Kluyveromyces lactis: one gene and its partners. The main gene of each other region encodes a partner of the protein of the gene in region 2 in a complex. Links are inferred from orthologs where the notes say so. Each region holds a gene or a part of one and is shown on either strand. Other genes may lie near its edges. The genes, in order: KLLA0_E19933g, UME6, ASH1, SAP30, RXT3, RPD3 and SDS3.

Evidence for each region.
Region 1: UME6 (region 2) and KLLA0_E19933g share a complex: the UniProt entries of both Saccharomyces cerevisiae proteins name them as parts of the RPD3C(L) complex. The link is inferred for Kluyveromyces lactis from reciprocal best matches to the Saccharomyces cerevisiae genes UME6 and DOT6.
Region 3: UME6 (region 2) and ASH1 share a complex: the UniProt entries of both Saccharomyces cerevisiae proteins name them as parts of the RPD3C(L) complex. The link is inferred for Kluyveromyces lactis from reciprocal best matches to the Saccharomyces cerevisiae genes UME6 and ASH1.
Region 4: UME6 (region 2) and SAP30 share a complex: the UniProt entries of both Saccharomyces cerevisiae proteins name them as parts of the RPD3C(L) complex. The link is inferred for Kluyveromyces lactis from reciprocal best matches to the Saccharomyces cerevisiae genes UME6 and SAP30.
Region 5: UME6 (region 2) and RXT3 share a complex: the UniProt entries of both Saccharomyces cerevisiae proteins name them as parts of the RPD3C(L) complex. The link is inferred for Kluyveromyces lactis from reciprocal best matches to the Saccharomyces cerevisiae genes UME6 and RXT3.
Region 6: UME6 (region 2) and RPD3 share a complex: the UniProt entries of both Saccharomyces cerevisiae proteins name them as parts of the RPD3C(L) complex. The link is inferred for Kluyveromyces lactis from reciprocal best matches to the Saccharomyces cerevisiae genes UME6 and RPD3.
Region 7: UME6 (region 2) and SDS3 share a complex: the UniProt entries of both Saccharomyces cerevisiae proteins name them as parts of the RPD3C(L) complex. The link is inferred for Kluyveromyces lactis from reciprocal best matches to the Saccharomyces cerevisiae genes UME6 and SDS3.

The regions. Positions count from the first base shown.
Region 1 is NC_006041.1:1,774,034-1,777,427, reverse strand, and holds KLLA0_E19933g (SANT/Myb-like DNA-binding domain-containing protein), read left to right. Parts: upstream 1-1,142; coding exon 1,143-2,894; downstream 2,895-3,394. Other genes in the region: KLLA0_E19955g (3'-5'-exodeoxyribonuclease), read right to left, coding at 1-211. UniProt on the Saccharomyces cerevisiae protein: Component of the RPD3 histone deacetylase complex RPD3C(L) responsible for the deacetylation of lysine residues on the N-terminal part of the core histones (H2A, H2B, H3 and H4).
Region 2 is NC_006042.1:1,922,848-1,926,947, forward strand, and holds UME6 (DNA-binding transcriptional regulator UME6), read left to right. Parts: upstream 1-1,300; coding exon 1,301-3,664; downstream 3,665-4,100. Other genes in the region: KLLA0_F20658g (uncharacterized protein), read left to right, coding at 1-252. UniProt on the Saccharomyces cerevisiae protein: Component of the RPD3C(L) histone deacetylase complex (HDAC) responsible for the deacetylation of lysine residues on the N-terminal part of the core histones (H2A, H2B, H3 and H4).
Region 3 is NC_006038.1:232,412-235,435, forward strand, and holds ASH1 (DNA-binding transcription repressor ASH1), read left to right. Parts: upstream 1-1,141; coding exon 1,142-2,524; downstream 2,525-3,024. UniProt on the Saccharomyces cerevisiae protein: Component of the RPD3C(L) histone deacetylase complex (HDAC). Responsible for the deacetylation of lysine residues on the N-terminal part of the core histones (H2A, H2B, H3 and H4).
Region 4 is NC_006041.1:986,123-988,448, reverse strand, and holds SAP30 (Sap30p), read left to right. Parts: upstream 1-1,325; coding exon 1,326-1,826; downstream 1,827-2,326. Other genes in the region: KLLA0_E11243g (putative endodeoxyribonuclease), read left to right, coding at 124-1,098; CUE1 (Cue1p), read left to right, coding at 2,271-2,326. UniProt on the Saccharomyces cerevisiae protein: Component of the RPD3C(L) histone deacetylase complex (HDAC) responsible for the deacetylation of lysine residues on the N-terminal part of the core histones (H2A, H2B, H3 and H4).
Region 5 is NC_006038.1:261,955-264,864, reverse strand, and holds RXT3 (Rxt3p), read left to right. Parts: upstream 1-1,444; coding exon 1,445-2,410; downstream 2,411-2,910. Other genes in the region: RPL31B (60S ribosomal protein eL31), read right to left, coding at 532-588. UniProt on the Saccharomyces cerevisiae protein: Component of the RPD3C(L) histone deacetylase complex (HDAC) responsible for the deacetylation of lysine residues on the N-terminal part of the core histones (H2A, H2B, H3 and H4).
Region 6 is NC_006041.1:185,677-188,919, reverse strand, and holds RPD3 (histone deacetylase RPD3), read left to right. Parts: upstream 1-1,444; coding exon 1,445-2,743; downstream 2,744-3,243. Other genes in the region: PEX6 (AAA family ATPase peroxin 6), read left to right, coding at 1-1,106; lumazine synthase RIB4, read left to right, coding at 3,229-3,243. UniProt on the Saccharomyces cerevisiae protein: Catalytic component of the RPD3 histone deacetylase (HDAC) complexes RPD3C(L) and RPD3C(S) responsible for the deacetylation of lysine residues on the N-terminal part of the core histones (H2A, H2B, H3 and H4).
Region 7 is NC_006041.1:774,585-777,194, reverse strand, and holds SDS3 (Sds3p), read left to right. Parts: upstream 1-1,150; coding exon 1,151-2,110; downstream 2,111-2,610. Other genes in the region: DNA-binding transcription factor CRZ1, read right to left, coding at 1-190; KTR5 (putative mannosyltransferase), read left to right, coding at 2,545-2,610. UniProt on the Saccharomyces cerevisiae protein: Component of the RPD3C(L) histone deacetylase complex (HDAC) responsible for the deacetylation of lysine residues on the N-terminal part of the core histones (H2A, H2B, H3 and H4).

The DNA of each region.
Region 1 (3,394 bases), on a different chromosome or scaffold from region 2:
CTTTGAACATGTGATCAGAGATATTGAACCCAATGTCAAAGTACCTTATCTGTTTCAAACCTGTCATCTTCTGAAGTGCTCTGGACATATACAGTGTAGAAGCTGTTTCACAGTGATATACAATGGCCATAATGAACCGAAAATATGCCAAACAAACAGGAAGTCCTTTTATCGTTCTGAAGTGGGATGAGTTGCATATCCTCTTGCGCATCGTGAGATGGCTTGTACAGAATTTTCGAGTGTTACCCGGATGTAAGGTTAAGCTCCACTCTGTGACTCAAGTCCGCATGGAAACATTCACAGACCGTACATGCCACACGATGTCCAAAAATATCGTGTAATGGGTATCTTCCGAAGCCTATCCAATGGCCTACCAACGCACTTATCACCTCCCGGAGTGCATCCCCCTACCTCCCATAAGCTTATTTTGACACATTCTACACACTACTGCAATAGCTTTCCGAAGGCGTAGACTAACGCACCAGTCCCAAACCAACCGGGGAACCCCATTTGCAAGAAGTACACAGACGAAAAAAACAAAAAAAGACACGTGAACGGTAAGATACAGGACCCTCACTCAGTATACTCACATCACATCTCATCTCTTCTCATCTCACCTGTCACCTCATCTCATCGCTGTCACACTGAAAAAATTCGAAATTTTTTTTTTTTCCAACTCATCGCGACGAAGAAAAAGCCACTAAACTCGACCTCATCGAGTCTTGTCATTTAACTTGACACTCTTTGTTTCCTAGGCAGAAACCTGTCTTTATTGGTTCAGTACTCAGTCTGACCTCAGTGATATCGACTCAGAGCATAACTGTCAATACGTTAGTTTATTGTTAGCCGATTTTGGAAGGAATTTAAGGCGATTTTTTGTTGTTTAAAAAGAAAAATCGTTCATAAACTACTGTCGGTTTTATTTTGGACCGTTCAAAATTTTTATTCCCTCTCGTTGTGTTAATGAGAACAGGTCTTTGAGCTAGAGAATTAGAGCTATTAGAAAGCTGTTACTGTCGTTTTGATTACATTTCGAAAATTTTTGAGCTGAATTTTGGTTTTACTGCTCTAAATAGTGGATTTTGTTTTGGTTGCTGATACTTTACAATTATAACTCACAATATTTTTAAGTGAAAGGGTAGATGACTGCACCAAAAAACGTTTCCAGTAGGACTCCGAGTTCGTGGGAACCTCAGGACGATGTCTTGTTGCGACACTTGAAAGAGGTGAAAAGACTGGGATGGAAGGATATTGCTCAGTATTTTACGAATAGAACTCCTAACGCGTGCCAATTTCGGTGGAGAAGGTTAAAATCTGGCAGTTTAAAGACGGTGAAGTCGCCAGAGGAGGAGGATGAGGAGGAGGATGAGTTGTTAAATGTGACTGTTCCAGTACTTGCTCCAATGGCTGTTTCTGCAGGACCTACGTTGAGCGCGGAATCTTTAAACACTGGGTCCTCTTCGACGGCGAAGAAGAATACGGCAAAGAAGTCTAGTTCTACGGGACCGATGCCCATGCCCATGCCAATTCCGACCTCAAAAGTTACCAATAGTGCCGTTCTTTCGTCACCTCATGGGTTGAATGGTAGTGGGAGTGCTACTAATAATAACAATAGCAACATGGGTGTTTTTTCGTCATCTGCTGCTACAGCTGGATCTAGTGTCCTATCGGTAAACGGACTTGCACATTCCGGATCGTTGTCCAAGTCTCCGTTCTCTACTGCTTCTCCTGCTCCTCATGGGAAATTTATAAAGCCCAGGTCTTCCTCTCATTCACAGGACGCCCCACCAAATATGCCCCATTTCAATGATCAAGAGGAAAATTTTGGTTTTATTCCAAAAGTCTTCATCAAGAGTAGACGTGGTTCCGCGGTCGTTGTGAATAACACTCCACAATCGAACTTGCCAAACCTGGCCAGTACGAAATCAAGGAAAAATTCCTTCTCCTCGCGCTCCAGACGTTCCTCTTTCAACGTAGCATCCGACAGGCATTTCATCCCAATGTCTTCTAACGGATCTTCTAGAAGATCTTCCGTTGTTGTCATGCCTTCATCAACTTTGCCCGCATCTTCCGCGAATCCAAGGAGAGAAAGCTTCACGACGAATCCATCTATGTCTAGAAGGAACTCTGTCTCTCAGTTTAGACGTGAGTCTATGCAAGCAGGTTTCATTGATATGCCCATAAAACAAAGCTCTCAACCCCCTCCTTCATCCGTATGTGCCGTTGGATCATTCAATGGCTTTGCAAAACCTTGGTCTGGCGATGAGGATAAGTTGTTGGTAGAAAAACGTCAAAGGTACCACTTGTCCATTGATGAGCTTTCAATCTTGTTACCTCATAGATCAGAACAAGAGATCCAATGGAGAATGGATTCGTTACATATAACGCCTAGCGATGCAGTTAGTACTGCTAGTCCTTCCGCCAATGTTAATCAATCGAGTTCTTCAGATGAGGTCCACTCTACTTACTCACCAGATACTGCCGTAGAGGAGCATGACGACATTGACGATGTTGATGTTGATGTAGAGATTGTTGGCCGCATGGAAGACTCTATTGCCCCAACTCAGCTAAGAGATGAATCTCCTACGTTTTCTCAAACATCTTCGACTGGTTCTTCCGCTCGTGAGAGATCGCCAGTGTTTTCACCGGACGCTCATTCCTTGAGAGACCATTCTCCAACTATTTCTGATGTGAACAACTCATCTTTTTATGGCAATAGGATGCCTGCCAGCGTACCGAAGCAAATTCTTCAAACACAGGCTAGTAATGAACAAACGCCCCAGTTCACTCCGAATTCATCGCAATCTCCTCAACCACCACAAAACCATCGACTACCGCAAGTGCCAACTCAGCCACTGCCTAGTTTGAATACGATATTCAAGCACATTGTTTGATGATAAACTGTCTGTATTAATACCATTATCAAGAACCAAAAACTTAAAAAACTACTTTACAAACCACTTTCAGACATGTATGAACATGAACCCCGAAGTGTATCGTGGCGCCAGTCGCTGCTACTTCAATCATCATTGTCGTTGATTTACTATCACATAAACGCACACACTTTCCTGATTATGACCCCATTGTACAAGTACTATAACTACAATAGAACATCAATAATACTGTTACAGTGTTATCTTTATGCCAAATCATTTGAACTGTACCATATGGTTATTTTTTGTCATAATAATGTCCCTATTCAGTTTATTATAGCAAAGGGACACGGGCTGCTCCTTTTGCATAAACACTTAAATGAAAAGTGCGTACTATTACGTTGTTTTGTTATTTACATTTTACTGCTATATCAATGATGGCATTAATTTTCGCTATTCTTACAATCATATACATATATACATGCATATATTAGATATTACACTATTATCAGTTTTCTTCT
Region 2 (4,100 bases):
GTAATCAACGACAAAGTGTTCTTACATTACAATATCAGTTACGAATGGGGATTCGCAATCGGATTTAGTTTCGCATTCTGGGCAGGCGTTGAATTATACAAATATGGTAAGAGACATTACTTCGGCATCAAGGACAGAGTCGACAATCCAGAAAATGATTTAGAAAAGAGAGCAGTGCACGATCCGTTCGAACAATACACTACTTCCTTCTCCAGAATGAATACTTTTCACAACGACGAGAAGACTATCTGAAAGTTGAAAAGATGCAGGAATAAGCGGTGCTTTTTAATTATTTTTAATCTACAACTTATCTGGAACAAATGTATATTAGCAAATCCATATGATAAGTATCATCAATAATTTAATTTTTATAAATACCATACTACATTAACAAAAGTAGTTTATCTCACTTTAGATCGATTTTACTCTAGTTTCCCGTCAAAACTCTTTATATTTGGCCTGAATCGATTAAGACTTTGGGCCCAAAAGTTACTAAGCCGGAACAACTGATTATGACCGGGTAATACATGGTCTTTACTCTTTTCAAATCTTTTTCTCCCTTTCCAGCGTGTAAAATAGTTTCAAGACAATTTTCGTCAAGCGATACGCCCAATGGATAAGAAAAGTCAAAAACAGTCAAAAATTATTCCCACGGGTAATTAAAGAAACCCACCATCTTAGCGGGCTACATATGTAATCAGCTACTGTATAACAGCAGTGCACCTTACAAACTTCAGATATCCTACTAAAAACAAAAAACCGAGAAGCAAAGCAAGGTCAATGAGCTTGCTTAGATGGCTAGTACCATTGCCGTTCCCTTTTTTCTTCCCTTTTCTCCCTTCTGATTCGTTTTCTGCGCTTGTTTTCCTGTAGTTTTTCGCTCAAAAAAAGGCAAAAAAACGCCTAATTGAATCTCGTTCGAAAATCACATCCAAGGCGTTGTTTATTTATTTATATAAATCGAATTTTACAAATGTTTGATTTCTCTTACTTGTTTTAGTTTATTGTAATATACTCTACTTTATTTTTTTATTCTTTATGAATGCTTACATTCATTGAAACCGCGATCCTCTATGAATTGACAGGCTTCTGGTTCAATCTCTCTTACTAATTACGAACCCGCTCATTCCGTAGCTCCTGGCTTAATACCTGATTGTGTTTAGTTTCAAGAGTCTTATAAGGGGGTGAGGAGAGAATCGGTTTTTTTTTAACTCAAGAGTAACACAAACTCTTGGCGCTAAGCGCTGGCCTGAAACTTAGACTGAAGTTTTCTTCAAATATAAAAGAACCTTCGGAATAGATGGTTCGTCAGAAAAGTCAAATTGAGCGGCGTGCTGTGAACTCTGTTCGTTTATCCTCCTCTTCTCCGTTATCTTCCAAAATGCATGTGCCGGAGAAAAGTACCCCGCCAAGTTACCCTGACGAACATTCAAAAACAAACGCCGCCCAAGTGGAGCTAACCGCCCAGCGGGAAGTGACCAAAATTGATGAAAAACAAGAAAACGAAAAACAACAACGAGTGAAAACAGGTGAAAAACAAACGCTGCTGCGACATACACCAAGGCTCAACCCCTTGATACATTTAGCGATGTCTCCTACTGCTGCTCCGAATAATACGCCTGTGGAGGAAAACGATCTACAACAGGGTGTTATCTCTCCTTCACGTGGAGAGCCTTCCGGGATTCCAGGGACAAAGCCTCAAACCGAGGTTTTGCCGCCACTTCCTCGTTACGGAGAGACTAAGCAAGAGGAAAAGGAGGTTGCCGTGAAATTTGAGAAAAAAACGGGTACCCAAGACTTTGATCACGTGGTTTCGGCTGATAAACAACATGTTCCAAAAATAAATACGCGTACACCATCTATCTGTATATCCAGTAGCAATACGCTGCCGAACACTGGGAAAGGGAGTAGCACCTTATATCAAGACTCGCGCACTCCCGTGTATTTGTTCAACGATAGGATAGACTCTGGTCAAGTGAGTGAAACAGAAACACTTCACGATTCAAGAAAGGGCGAGGAAATTCAAGCTGATACTGGTAGTCATCAAAATGAACGCATGCTGCGACAAAGCGGACATAGACTCGAAGGCAAAAAGGGCAATGGCAGAAACATTGGTAATCCTGGAACTGTTTCACATGACGGTGCGAGCGGTATTGCTGCGCCTTCATCTTCGCCGATCCTTGAGACCTCGAGCGCTTCCCGTGATAGAGATCTGCATGCCACAGGAAGCGCCATGACTCCAAAAAGACTACATTTTGATTGTTCCACAGAGAAAATAGATCCGGGTGCAGGCATCTCATCAATTTCAGCTCAAAAGATCAATATTACTTCATTACTAAACTCGAGATCGACAGCAGAATCAATCTCGCCCCCTCCATCTACGGCAGGAAATGAATACACTATTCATTTCCCATCCTCAGCAGCGTCAAATCCTCCTCACTCCACAGGATCCTTCCTACATCCAAAATATCAAAATCAAAACCCGCAGGTCTCATCTACCATGAATAGAATTGTTTCTCCAACCTATATGTTCGAAACCGATCAGGTTCATGGTCCTTTCAGTAATTCTAGTAGTGGCAGTAATAGTAGTGGCAGTAATAACGGTAGCACAGCAAACAGTAATAACAATAATACACATATTACCTACCAACCGAAGTATTTCAACACAAAATTCGATGAGTTAAGGAATAGAGTGTTATTAGGATCCTCAAACGCTTTTCCGAAAGTAGAGTCGGCTAACAAGTATCCATATAATAGCACAATGGTCAACCCAACTTTGAATGATCAAGATTCCAACGTGGATGCGGAAGCTGCCGCAATCATTTCTCAGATGAGGTCTTCCCCATTACCCCCATTTAACGAACAGTTCGGCTCTGGCAATCATGATAGCCGACCGAATTCGTCATTATCAAACCAATCTCTCCAAAATAATGCCTTTAATCCGTTCTCCAAAAGACTTTTACCTAAGCCAGTGCTTCGGGTTAACCAACGACCATTGACTGGCAACCAGGATGAACTCGTTATAATGGAAGAAGAGGATGATGATGATGACGGGTATGGCGATGGTGATTACGAAATGACCGAAGGGGGATCAAAGGCACCAGAAACTGTTGCATGGAATAAGAATGGAAAAAGAAGATTGTCCAGAAGAAGATCAGGCCCACCACATTATCAATCTCAATTGACAGGAATTAAAAATGAGATTGGAGACCATCCAGATACTACGGCATACCCCGCTGCGGATATCTCGGAAAATGGTATGCATATAAAAAGATCAAGGTCTTCATCATTATCTACTGAACACACTGGATTATTGTCACCGAATTCCAAACATGCCAAACAACTGAAGTTTAAAGAATCTAATTACAATAATGATGTTTCTAACGAGCAAATGGTCAAATCAAGTGATCAAATAAAGAAAAGAAATGCTACGGGGGCACGGTCAAGAACTGGCTGCTGGATCTGTAGATTGCGTAAGAAGAAATGTACAGAAGAGAAACCGCAATGCCAGAACTGCGTGAGGTTGCACCTCGAATGCTTTTACGACATAGTAAAACCCGATTTTATTTCAGATCCTGCTAAAAAGGCAGCAAAACTCGAAGAAATTAAAAAGAAAACAAAAGAAGCTAAGAGACAAGCAATGAAAAAGAAGACTTGGTTATAATCAAAGAGACAATCATCTCTAAATTCTTCTCAGACACACATCTGTATCATCAGGTGTTCTCAGTTTTTTTACAATAATGGACAACCCCTCAAAACTCTATAGATACCATTTTTGACTGAACTTTTATGATTATGTTCACCTCCCAATATATAATATACTCAGATATATTTGCTGTAATAAATGTGTAGACTGACTTTAATATACAATGTATGAATTGTACGTATTTTAAGCACAAAGCTTAGGGAATAGTATGGAAATGATTTCAAAAGACAACGTAGTTCAATATTTAAACTTTATGCTGCTTTCAAAGGAGGATTGAGATGATATGAGGATCAACAAAATAAAATAAGATAAAATAAAAGAACATACAAAATATAGACACATACATTACAACCAAAATTTGGAATAATTAAGATAAAATTTAAAAAAGTGTCGT
Region 3 (3,024 bases), on a different chromosome or scaffold from region 2:
TTGATAATATCAGTTGATGATGCTTTAAAGAGATTTGCTGATTTTTATTGAAGGCTTTGATAACGTTTACCTTAATACTATTAATTTCAACATCGATCAAAAATTTTATTATTAAATCTATGGAAAGAAGTCTTCTTCTCTCCAAATTTCATCTTGGGTAAATTCAATTGACTAGCTTCATCAAATGCGGGTAACAAACAATATATGTACGCGTTGTAATTTCCTTGATGATTTTAGGTAGACCCTGATTTCAAAATCTCTCAAATGAACACATGCAAACACAACTCTAAATGCTGATCGACTCGAGCAAATATCTAGCGTACATATTGTAGAGTCGGATTTTTCTTTTCCTTATGTCTCTTTTGCCAGCACTTTTGTCAAGCTGCCTCGCGCACTAGTATTCTTTTTTTTTTAAATTCTATTTTCTGCTTGCATATGTGAAGAAAGTGTAAACATGAAAAACCCAGCATCGAAATGTAAATCCATAATACCAGCCGAACAGATACCAAGACTTGGTGTGGAAAAATAAACATAAACAGAGATCTGAAAGCTAAGTGAACATCGCTGCGCGATTCCATTACATGATATATGATTTTGTAAACAATGGTTGACTAGTTTTGATCAATTTTATAGCCGGTAAGAGAAAAAGAAGTATATCTTTTGTCTTTCCCTTTAGTTTTGCAGGCATAGAACAAGTATGAATTCTTTTGCCAAATCGAAAAAAATTCGGTAAACCCTCTGCGGGTTTGGCGCAGGTATTCTTTGTTTACACTTTTTTCTGTTTCATCGATATATGGATTCCTACTAAGTTTGCGGGACTGAACTGATTGAAATTGGTTCAGTATCCCTAGAGTATATAAACCAGAATCCAAATCTGGGTTTCCATGGGACAATTCTTTCAGATCGATTGGAAAGATAATCCCCTTATTTTTACTGAATTAGGTATCGTGGTTGATATATGACAGTTCTAGCTAATCCTTATAAGGCCTGATATATTTCTTCACTCTTCAAACACTGGTCCTGACAACTGTGTTACACATCAATAATTTACTTCAATTAACACCGTAACTTGTTCCCCATTATAGAGCATCGAATCAGCTCATTTCCCATCGCTTCGACCTTTTCACTATTCAAGCTAACGATGTCCACTATTTCGAACCCTTTACCATTCACCAATCCTCACGCCGAGCAAAAGTTCTACGCAAGAAGAAAAAGATCCTTTGATGATCTATTATTGCCATCTTTAAGTACCAGTTTGAACGCCCCAATGACATTAGAAGAATCGCCATATTTCTTTGACGCCCGGAAAAAATCTAAAACGGCGCCAGCCTCACCTTCTGGATTCGTACAAATCACGCCTACTACATCACCAGTGTCCGCTTCATCTAATTCTTCCATATGGAGACAGACAGTATGTGAGGGAAGCAGCATTAGCAGCAACAGCAGTAACAATATTGGAAAATCAACTCAACTGCCTTCCTGTTCACAACTACAGAATGAGGTTGCGCAACCCTCGCAACCAGCACTACAACCATTAAAGCATCTAAAGTTATTGGCACATCCTAAAATACAAGAGTTTTCGTACCTCTATCCAGACACTTGTGCCTCCACGCCTCTATGGAGGCAAAACTTAACAGAGTGGTGTAAGGAAACTAATTACACTCAGTACCAAAACATTACAGATCAGGTATCTCAAGCTAATCCAAGAGCTGGTAATTTTACTCATGGATTAAATATTTTAGCCGATGCTGCTAGAATATCATCGATCAATACTTCACCAGATGAATTCTATCAACTTTCAAACACTTCAAGCTCCAGCAAAGTACTGGTAACCCCACCAAGTAGTCCTCCCAGACAATTCACTTCTATGATCAGCGAATCATTAGTTAAAGCGGTAAAGAAGAACCGTTCCTCAAAACATAAGAAGACCAACAGTTTTAAAGCAAGAAAACTGAAGAAGATGCTGGATCAACGCATATTGCTTACATATGAAGACAAATTCGAATCACAAAAGTCGGTATTTAAGGCTAATCCTGCACCACCAAAGACCCCTCCACAAAAGAAGATTACACTATCCACAACTCCAAAATCTCTTCAATCTCCCCAACAGAGATTTCATCCTATTGTGATCAACAGCGTGGAGGATTTCGGCGAAAAGACTTCGGCGAACTCCAACTCAGAAGACGACACCGACCAAGAGCTAGTCCAAACATCTCCCAAAAGCTCTCCAACACAAAGGCGTAACTCTCATAGATTTTGCGTTTCATGTCACATTACAGATTCCCCGTGTTGGAGACCTTCTTGGTCTAAAAGCAAACAAGATCAGCTTTGTAATTCTTGTGGGCTCCGTTATAAGAAGACCCATACAAGATGCACCAATGAAACTTGCCGTAAAATACCTTCAAAAGGTGAATTGACACTTATGAAATCAAACAAGCCAGTTTCGATTGAGGACGCTGACGGAAATACTGATTACAAAATAGCATGTTTGTTCTGCGGTCACGCCGTTGCTACTGACGAATAGGGCAGAAAAGCCTGATAAAAAAACCAACCTTCCTTGCATAATTAACTGATCCCAACTTTCAACGGAGCTTTTTACCTTCTAATATTGCATTTATAAATACTTACTTCTCTTTTCCCTTGTTTGTCCGGATAATATTTCCACTATTCCCTTTCCCTTCAATTCTAACTAATTTGATTAATATAATGATATAATCTAAACATATATTCTTCCTATAATTTATCTAATGTAGCGTAAATTAATATTTTCACACTTCTGATCTTTGAGCATCAATATCATAGGTTGATATTGATGACTGGCACTTAGTAGCTGCTTCAGACCTCTTCATAAAGTGAATGATTTTTTCTTTCTTTTCATTAATATGCCATTTACGTCAAGATCGATGTATGTTCGCTATCTGAAAATGAAAAAAAAAAAAAAAAAAAAAAAAAAAAACTTCATCAAAAATATAAATAACTGGAACCGTCAATATCTCATCACTTGCTTTCGTTTTGCTTTAATAT
Region 4 (2,326 bases), on a different chromosome or scaffold from region 2:
ATTCAAAAAGTATACCTTTGGAACATATTGGTGAATTGGGACAATTAAGGCAATTGCTATGGAATTAGGGTTCCAGTCTGCTATCAGGTGAGTGGTAATTGGGCTTGGTTTTGTGGGGCAAGAATGGTTCCATGTCTTGTCGATGCACATTGCCATGTGTCTACTATGGTGGATGCTGTAGGATGCGATAAGATCAGAAGCAATTTGGACCTGGCCCTTGCCGGAACGGCAAGTGATGTCCAACGGTGTGTCATGAGCACGAATGTGTACGACTGGGAATTACTGGAGCCCCTGCTGCTAATGAAACAACTGGATGATGAAGGTCCCGGAATCAATGTTAGTCTTGGTGTGCATCCCTGGTATTGCCATTTATATCAGTTAGATAGGTCGCTTTCTAAGGTAGGGCATTATAGGAATTGTCTTAAATGTAAAGACGAGGTACAGTTGATGGAATTGGTAGAGCAATTGCCGGATCCAGTAGATTTGTCAAGTTACTTGTCAGATGAGCGGGTTTCTCGTGTGGGTTGTATTGGCGAGATCGGATTGGACAAGGTTTTTCGGTTGCCTCAGAATGGCTTTCTCGTGAGCAATAATGGGACATCGTTGGAAAGAAGTAGTTTAAGCAATGTAAGGGTAGAGTTTGCACATCAGATCCAGGTATTTGAAACGTTATTAAAAGTTGCAAAGGGAAGGGGGTTGCCGGTTTCGATCCATTCTGTGAAATGTCAAGGTACTACTTTTGATATTTGCAAGAGAATATTATTGGATAGCGAGGTGAACATATGTTTGCACTCGTTTACTGGGACATTGGATACGGTGCGGCTATGGCTGGCGAATTTCCCACATGAACGGCTTTTCTTTAGCGTTTCGTGTTGGATCAACTTGAAAGACTGGGATTCTGGTGCTGAGCTGTTGAAGAGTTTGCCCTTGCAGTGTATTTTGACAGAGACAGATTGTTCTGTGGATTCAGTGTCGTCGCAAGAGCAACGACAGATGCTAGATTCCGTTCTTGACGCCATTTCAAGAGCTCACGGCATTTCCAGGACTAAGGCGATGGACACGGTATTACAAAACTTCAATAGATTCTTACGTAAATGAGATGAGACGCAGGGACTGCATGTATGTTCTTTGTTTAATGTAGTCATCCTCTATATCTAATTCCAAGTTATTCCCACTTATCTAAGAAAAAAAAGTGTCTTAAGTACAAAATTTTGATCTTTTTGAACATTTGTCCAGGTGGTAAAGGGCATTACCATGTACTGCTCCATACCATCTCAGGTGTCAAATAGAGTGGGTGCTGTACAGTCACAAGGATCTTACACGACATGGCACCAAGGGGACACAATAACTCAAATTCAGAGTCCGAATCTAAGGGCAAATCATCGAACAATGCAACTTCAGGTGCATCGACCAGGACCAGTGTGAAACAAAGACTCTCGAGTGCTCAACAGCAATACTTGAAGGACTTGAACAAGAAACATATACATAACAATCATCCGAAGAATGAGCCGCTCCCAAATCCGATGGATTTCGAACAATACTCCGATGAATTTTTAAGGCGGTATAAGGATAGGTTCCAATTGAAATCTCCAGATAATCTATCAATACAAGGGTACCTTCTAGGATCAAGGATTGGGAAACATACTTACTCGGCGAAACGAAACCAGAAAAATGTACCAGATGCAAGGGTTACGAAGCAGGAGCTTGCGAAAGGTGTCAGGGAACACTTCGATAACTATACCGTTCGAGAAGCGGAATGCCTTCCTCAGTTTATTTACAAAGTACAAAATCAGAAAAAGAAGTTCAGAATGGAGTTTAAGGGATGAAGCGGTGGTGTTGCATAGCTCACTTCCATCTTGGGCATGTAATTCGACATCAGCCTAATGGCTTCATCTATTTGTAACATATATGAATAATATAGAACGTAATAATCAAGGATATCAACGGAAATCTATTTGGAACTAGCGTTCTATACGCTGATTATATGCACTGCAGTGAAAAGGACAGATTGCACAGCAAGCTGTACACACGTCCTTCTGCTCTTTAACATTTTTTTCCTTTACAGGTCGTTTACACAATTTTTCTCTTTAATAAGAAATGAATGATATTAATTATCATTCACAAGTAAAAACTGTAACAAGACAAGTATTTGCTCCATAACCAGGCATACTGTGTTTTCCTGTCTCCAGAATAATTAATATCACAGCAATATATTGAGAGCAGACAGAAATTATTGTGTTAGATAGAGTATCTGAATTAAAACTTTAATCATGGCGGATCAAAGTTTCACATTATTTATCATTTTGGCTATTGCCGGTTATATTGC
Region 5 (2,910 bases), on a different chromosome or scaffold from region 2:
AGTAAAAAATTGGATCTCATATTATTCGAATTACCAAATGGTGGGAGCAATTGGAAAATACCTGTTCAAGATACTGTACTGTTAAGATGTTGGAAAAAAAAAGGAACATTGATCATAAGTAAAATACAGTGCGTATTCACCGATAATGTCGTCTCTTAATCGCCTGTTTCACTCGGATAAAAATCAATCATCAATATTCAAATTATTTCACATTGATAAACAAATAACCCATCTTTTCAACATTATATTCCAGAAACAAACTTAGCGTTTTCACAAGGACGTATAGCATGGTGTATATTTTCTCCACATTCTAATGATATCAAAATAAACTAAATAGACTTCATCTCCGGTCTTTAATATCCACATATTCTCCCAAAGTATCTCCATTGTGTGCAAACTTACATGCAATGTTGCATTCAAATACAGTATATGATCTTTAAACTCCCCTTCTCATTGCTCTTATCCACTTTGGTATCTATTGTGTAATTTCACTTCGAAATTTTGTTTCATCATTGGTAAAAGCTAACATACTCTTTTGTGCATGTTGATGGTGTATTCACGAGTAACGACGTCTTTCAAACCGGCCATTTTGTATTCGATAGTTCCTCAGTGTACTGCTTCGTTCTTCTCTATTAAGAACCAACACACAAATCAAATAAACAGTATCGTAAACGCCTATTAACATTCAGAAACCTCTAATTTCACCACTTACAATATAGCTTATTTCTCAGTATCCAAATAATATTTCATCGAAAATCAACACTTTCTCTCTGGTACTGGAGGGAATAGACTAGGCACTAGGCTGGAGCAAGGCAGCCAGTGGTGGGTGAAACGCCTAGTATGTCCAAACCTGGCTGGGTGGCTGCCCAGGCTGGTTCCAGTAGACGGAGGAATGCCTGCACTCTGGACAAGGAATGGTTGCCGGCTGGGGTGTAGAGCTAGAAAGGTGAATTGGCATCCTAGGCAGAGTGGGTAAACCTGTCATCGGAGGCCGCCGGGCGTTGTCAAGCGAGGTTCCTCAGGCCTGTATCATTGCTTCCCACACACAACATGTCCTAGAAATGTTTGTGTCATTCGAAGTGCGAAATGCGGAATGAAAGTTTCCTATTATAGAAAATGAAAACATAAAACTATTTTACATCAGAGTGCACGGATGTTACAGTGGAACAAATGAAGCCTCACGAATGTACGGATGTTATAACAGTCCCGTATATAGACTATTATGGTCAAACTGGTGATGAATGTTGTTAATGAAAGAATCTCCATCTGTACATCGAATACACAGTGAATTCATAATATAAATCGAGAGAAATTTACTCCTGAGCAGGGTCGATTGATACATTATTACAAGCTGAGAACTTCGCAGTGGCTCAATTGATTAGTTGCCGATTGTATAGCTGGTAAAACTTTGATTTATTCAACAGCTTTCAGCCACTGTTTGAATATGAGTGATGAGTTGTACAGAAAAACCCAAAACAGGATATACAGCATGCAAGAGACACTGCTGAATAGTTCTAGGGAGTCCAAACAGGCCCGAGATCAGGATACGGGTAAAATCGGATCATCATCATCAGAAGAAGCAGTTGCTGCACCGGCTAATACACAGAATGTTGCAGATGAAAGTTCCCAAACAGGGGAACCTGAAAACAACACTACCCTTGAAACTGCAGCTCCAGACAGCAAACCTGAAGATGACGAAGACGAAATAGACGTAAACTCTAAATCTGTCCTTGAATATACAGAGAAGAATTACGCACTACAGCGGCGCCCTTTGGCCACCTTGGAGTACGACTCCATGAGAGTTGGTGTTTTTCCTGGGGATCCGAAATTGGAAGCCCTTCCATTCCCTTATAATTTCAAGACCATCAGATCTCCGAGACCTTTTATTCCAAGGATGTCTCATAACCATATCAACTCAATCCTTACAATACAGATCGATTCCATATATTTACAACAAGTGGCCCGTAGTGAGAACATACGGTACCAAAACCGAGAGATATGGGGCACAGATATATATACCGACGATTCGGATATTATATTAGTACTTCAACACTGTGGAGTTTTGCCATTTTCTGAACCATTGGATCAAAACAGCAATGGCAAGCCATCCAATGTTCACTCTTTGAAAACTAAATTGAGAAGAACTCCTACAAATATGTCGGACCAAAATAGTGTGACAGGAGCAATCCCAGAACGTGAAATTCCATTTGCGATCAAAGTGGACATCCTAATGTTACCACCTCTTCAAGGTTATGCGTCATCCACGAGAAATAATATCACATCCAGAGAATGGACAGGGCAAGTCCATGACGGTTTGTCGTTCGGAATTTTCCATGTTGATATTGTGGTGATGGACAACACATTAAATGAGATACAACAATCTGACAAGACTAAGTCACTAAAGTGGTAACGCTGCATCAAGAAAAAGGCCAGCAGCCGGTATCTTCCGTCCCCCAATATATTTTCTTTCGTCATGTGTCTCGTACAAGTGACGAGAAAGTTGACTTAAATCGGTTATGTGCAAGCCGTGCGTACTGCATCGATGCGTGCCGAAAAGAATATGTACATTTGTATATGTAAAAGCGTTGTGTATAGATTACTCAACAATGTAATATCATAATAATAACTACCATTATCTCCACTGCCATGCAAACCTTCTAAACATAGAGGTCTGATATATATGCTATTTTATACGTCCCTGCAACCTTCTTTTAAATTGGTTGAAGGTTCCTTCTATTCTTTTAGTGACATTCAATAAGATTAATAATTGGGAAAAAGATTTGAAAAGACCGACCATAAGAGAAGTGTTCGAGACGTTAACGGCTACAAAGTGACCCATAAGACCCTGAATCTTGTTTCTTGGTATACTTAAAGATTAGGTTAGAGTAAGGGTCTCACTGATTCTAACTT
Region 6 (3,243 bases), on a different chromosome or scaffold from region 2:
CATTGCAGACAGTATCTGTTCAATCGGCTGGTTTGACTCCAATGGATATACGATCAATCGTCAAAGCTGTCAAGTACAAATGTTACCAACGTCTAAAGCAGAACGACCTTCTAATTGATATGACCGATATAACTGCAGTCATAAATATTGCAAGAGATAGATTCTCAGACTCTATCGGAGCTCCTAAAATTCCTAACGTGACTTGGGATGATATTGGTGGGATGGATGTGGTCAAAGGAGAAATCATGGATACCATAGATATGCCACTCAAGCACCCTGAACTATTTTCATCTGGTATGAAAAAGAGAAGTGGTATTCTTTTCTATGGACCTCCTGGGACTGGTAAAACCTTGTTAGCGAAGGCAATTGCGTCTAACTTCTCTTTAAATTTTTTCAGTGTTAAAGGGCCTGAACTTCTTAACATGTACATTGGTGAATCCGAGGCAAATGTTAGACGTGTCTTCCAGAAAGCAAGAGATGCTAAGCCATGTGTCATTTTTTTCGATGAACTTGATTCCGTGGCACCAAAGAGAGGAAATCAGGGAGATTCTGGGGGTGTTATGGATCGTATTGTGTCTCAACTTTTGGCAGAACTAGACGGAATGAGTTCAGGAGGAGACGGAGTGTTCGTAATTGGAGCTACGAATAGGCCAGATCTTCTTGATGAAGCATTATTACGTCCCGGTAGGTTTGACAAGATGTTATATTTGGGGATATCAGATACCGATAAAAAACAGGCAAATATCATCAAGGCTTTGACGAGAAAGTTCACACTAGAATCTGGTATCGATATACTAGATATTGCCAAAAAATGTCCGTTCAACTATACAGGTGCAGATTTCTACGCATTGTGTTCTGATGCCCTTTTAAACGCTATGACTAGAGTTGCTGGTGAAGTTGATGAAAAGTGGGAGAAGTATAACATGGAAAATAAAAAGAATATATCATTGAGGTATTGGTTTGATAACGTGGCAAACGAGAATGACTTGAAGGTCGTGGTAAAATTACAAGACTTCGAGCTTGCTCAACAGAATCTAATACCAAGTGTTTCTGAGGATGAATTAAGACATTACTTGAGATTAAAGAGTAGTTTCGAATCTCAATGATCGTTAATAAGTAATCATATCGAATATTATTATAAATCATATATAACAAATATATTAACTCATCCATGCAGGATGATCTGGTCAGTAAAAAGTTGGTCTACTTCTTAATCTTCTTCAACTCGTGTAACATGACAGATCTCTTTAAGGCTTTTCTTCTTTCTTTAGCTGCTTGGAAATTCTATATTGATGGAGACGGTGAAAAATGAAGGTAGTGATTTCTATTAAAACCTTGATTTATGTCGAAAACATACCAAGAAAGCTATATAAACAAGAGGTGAAAAATTTGTACCGGCTCTCCAACTTAGCGAAACTATTAAGATTAATTGTGCGTGGACGGTATGGTATACGAAGCTAAACCTTTTGACCCGATAACGGTGAAGGCTAACGAGAAGAAGCGAGTTGCATACTTTTATGATGCTGATGTGGGAAACTATGCTTATGGTGCAGGACATCCTATGAAACCACATAGAATAAGAATGACACATTCGTTGATTATGAATTACGGTTTGTATAAGAAGATGGAAATTTACAGGGCTAAACCTGCAACGAAACAGGAGATGTGTCAGTTCCATACCGATGAATATATTGATTTCTTGTCTCGAGTCACTCCAGATAATTTAGATATGTTCCAAAAGGAGAGTGTGAAATTCAACGTTGGAGACGATTGTCCTGTGTTTGATGGTTTGTACGAGTACTGTAGTATATCTGGAGGTGGTTCTATGGAGGGTGCAGCCAGATTAAACCGAGGCAAATGTGATGTTGCCATTAACTATGCTGGTGGTTTACATCATGCCAAAAAATCGGAAGCTTCAGGGTTCTGTTACTTGAACGATATAGTGCTAGGTATCATCGAGTTGTTAAGGTACCATCCTCGTGTTCTTTATATTGATATTGATGTGCATCACGGTGATGGTGTAGAAGAAGCTTTTTATACTACGGATCGAGTTATGACATGTTCTTTCCATAAATATGGGGAATTCTTCCCAGGTACTGGTGAATTGAGAGATACTGGTGTCGGGAAAGGTAAATACTATGCTGTGAATGTCCCATTAAGGGACGGTATTGACGATGCCACTTACAAATCGGTATTTGAACCAGTCATAGGTAAAATTATGGAATGGTACCAACCTTCTGCCGTGGTACTCCAATGCGGTGGTGACTCTTTATCCGGCGATCGTTTAGGTTGTTTCAACCTTTCAATGAAGGGTCACGCAAACTGTGTCAACTACATGAAATCGTTCGGTGTTCCTCTCATGATTGTTGGTGGTGGTGGTTATACAATGCGAAACGTGGCTCGTACATGGGCTTTCGAAACGGGTATTCTGAATAATGTGATTTTGGATGAAGAACTTCCTTACAACGATTACTACGAATATTATGGCCCTGATTACAAATTGGATGTCAGACCATCTAATATGTATAACGTCAATACACCGGAGTATTTGGATAAAGTGCTACTTAATATTTTCAGCAATCTAGAGCATACTAAATATGCCCCAAGCGTTCAACTCAATCACGTTCCTCGCGATGCGGAGGACAAAGGTGACGCCGAAGAAGATACTGCAGCTGCGAAGGACACTAGAGGAGGTTCTCAGTATGCAAGAGACATAACCATTGAGAATGCAACCGAATTTTAGCCAGAAAACAAAAACAGATGATCTTTTATTATTTACTGTATTATAATATATTTACACTTAGAAGTACTCTTCCGCATTTGCTACAGGTTTTATCGTCACTCACCTAATCACTGTTATATGTCATTCATCCGACGGTTAATATGATGCTGAATATACAGATTGGTGCCCAAGTTAGAATTGATCTAATGAGGTCAATTTTCTATCGTGTTTTCCCTCCGTCAGTATCGGTATTTGCCATAATTTTCCACGTAATACTATTCCAGTTCAGATATGACTTACATCTGCACTTCGGTTGTCAGTAACAAATCTATATATGAAAAAGATCAAAAAATGAAAATCCAGAAGCGAATGGATATTTAAAAGTTAAGATCAGATAGGTCGATTACACAAGAATAAAGCTTATCCTATTTCATATAGAGATATATATTATCTGATAGTAGATACGTTGTATCTAAACATTCAAATCACAGTTAGTAAATTTTGCAATGGCTGTTAAAGGT
Region 7 (2,610 bases), on a different chromosome or scaffold from region 2:
CCTTAAAACCTGACAGTATATCACCACCGAAGTCAGACAGCTTGACACCACATTTCCTACTATTATTCATCGCATTGAAACCAGGCGCAACCTTCGACCCTCGAGAATTGTCAGAATCTTCCGGATTTAACAGTACATTCGCACCGATGTCACTGGGACTATCGACATTCAAATAATCGTCAATATCCATACTGTTCTCTCAGTCAAAAAAAAAAACAACAAAAACAACTCGGAATACAAGTCTCAAAGTCAGGTAATATTATATCCAAAGGGGAAACCAATATGTTTTTCGAAAACTCTGTTCTCTGTTCTTTCTTTCCTATGAACTGGAAAGACTGAAAAGAAGAGCTTTATAAAATCGACACACTTATAACGTCGAAATTTAAAGTATTAGAATATTAGGGGTAGTTCAAAGCACCGCAAAATTCAGCGATTTATCTGTACTAATAACACACAACACTGATGTGTATCACAGGCTGCGTACCACTGTTTTATCTCTGAATTAGTCTCACTATTTCACTTCTATTCACCTAACAAAAAAAAAATCACATCGTCATTATATTATAACTTAACTTACTTTTTTTTTTTTTGGGAATTTTCCCTTTTCTTTACCAAAATTGCCAAAAGTTCAAAGCCTTTAAAAACTTTCAACACACTTAAAGCCTGCACTTATACCGGCCAGCTTTAAGCTTTTCTTATCTGAAGCTGCGACTTTTCTGCGGGGAAATGAGATGGAAAACGGAACATAAAAAATTTAAAAAAGAAAATGGTGATACTTGCAATGAATAAATCAGTGTTATGGGAGCATTGAGGTTCGAACGGCAGAAGCATGGCATTTTCTTGTTTGTCTCATTTGATTATTATTATTTTTTTTTTTTTTTTTTTAAATCAGAGCAGCTTAAGCAGTTGTACTTTGTACATACTTTATACATAATTTGTACATAATTTGTACCCAGCTCATACGTTGCACGATACATGTAACGAGCAGCACATTAACTCGTTGTGTTAACGTTTTCAATTGTAATTTTTTATTCTGTGTTAGTAATTTCACAGGATAATTGGTAAGAAACGATACCGGAGAGTTTTTCTGGTTTCACTTTAACAATTATATCAGCTTTTGCAGTAAATACAGCTTCTCCCCCCGAGGAACATGGATGAAGTACAATATTCTATGATGAGCAGCGGTGTGAAGAAAGGTCAAGGAGCGAAACAGAATGGGGGTGCTATTCCCGCAGGTGTTGGGCAGGATTTGAGTAGGAAGGATAAGAAGCGATTACAGTTTGAAGGGAAAGTGGGAAAGATAAGAACGTCGTTTGCAAAGGATAAAGATGTGCATTATAGGGATAGGTTGACTCTGTTACAGACAGATTTAACGACGCTGCATCAGGGGAATAACCCTGAATTTCTGAGGAAATTGAGGGATCTTGAAGAAGATAGGGATTTGGAATTAGTTAGGCTCAGGCTTTTCGAAGAGTACCGGATTTACAGGTCCAAAGTAGAGTTCCAAGAAGATATTGAAAAAGCCAAGCAAGAACATGAAAGGATGATCAAATTGTGCAAAGAGATGTTGTATGAATCCCTACAGAAAACTATCAAGAAATTGCAAGAGGAACGGCTACTTCTGGATGTAGCAAACACACAGTCTTATTCGATGGATTATTCTCGAGGGAAATTCCAGAAGCAGACTAGAAGCTCAACTCAAAATTCAGCCAATTTTTCGGCTTGGGATTCGTCACCGAACGATGTCAGCCAAACAGAAAGTGGCAATGAGACTGGTAATACTACCGATAGGAGGTCATTGCGTAGGCGTGCTGCTACTAATCAGAATAGAGCTCAAACTCCTGCAAACATTACACCTGCAAACGGAAGCGGGAAATCAAGCAATACTAATAGCGATGCAGAGTCGATGCAATATCTGAGCGATTCATCAGAATTACAGGCTTTATTGTTCGGAAAGGAAAAGGAAAAGGAAAAGAAGATGGGTCGAGGTCACCAAAGACTTTCGACAAAAAGCGCTCCTATTCTTCAATCTTTAACTCCGGATGAGGTTACTGATGATATATCTTTGATAAGAAAGCTAACGGGCCAAGTACCAGCCCCATTCAAATGAATATCAATAGTTGGATTTATCTTGTAAATCTGGTCTGGGGTACAAGTGAAGAAACTAAAATGTTACCAGTTTTTTTTTTCTGTCATCCAATATTTCCCAAACTGCTTAGGTCCCAAATACTATCCGTTATTGTCAGTCTTATACCTTGTATTTTTAGTGTATCTCATGTGTAATACTACTACTTTATAATACTGCGTATTTTTTAATGTATGCACAAAAAAGTGAACAGAATCTGAATTTTGATATTTCAGTTATCTATTGACGATGATTTATGCGCAATACGCGATCCATTTATAAACATAAACTCAACAGTCGATTAAAGTACCAAGAATATTAGTATAAAACCTCATTCTTTCATCTTCAACTATTGGGACGTACACATTCATCTTTTCCACTTTTTTTTGCATGATTACTGATAGTTTCCATCTTATCTCATGAGGAATAGAACCAGAAAGCTACTGATAGTGATAACAATTGCACTTCTAATTTGTGTTGGTGTA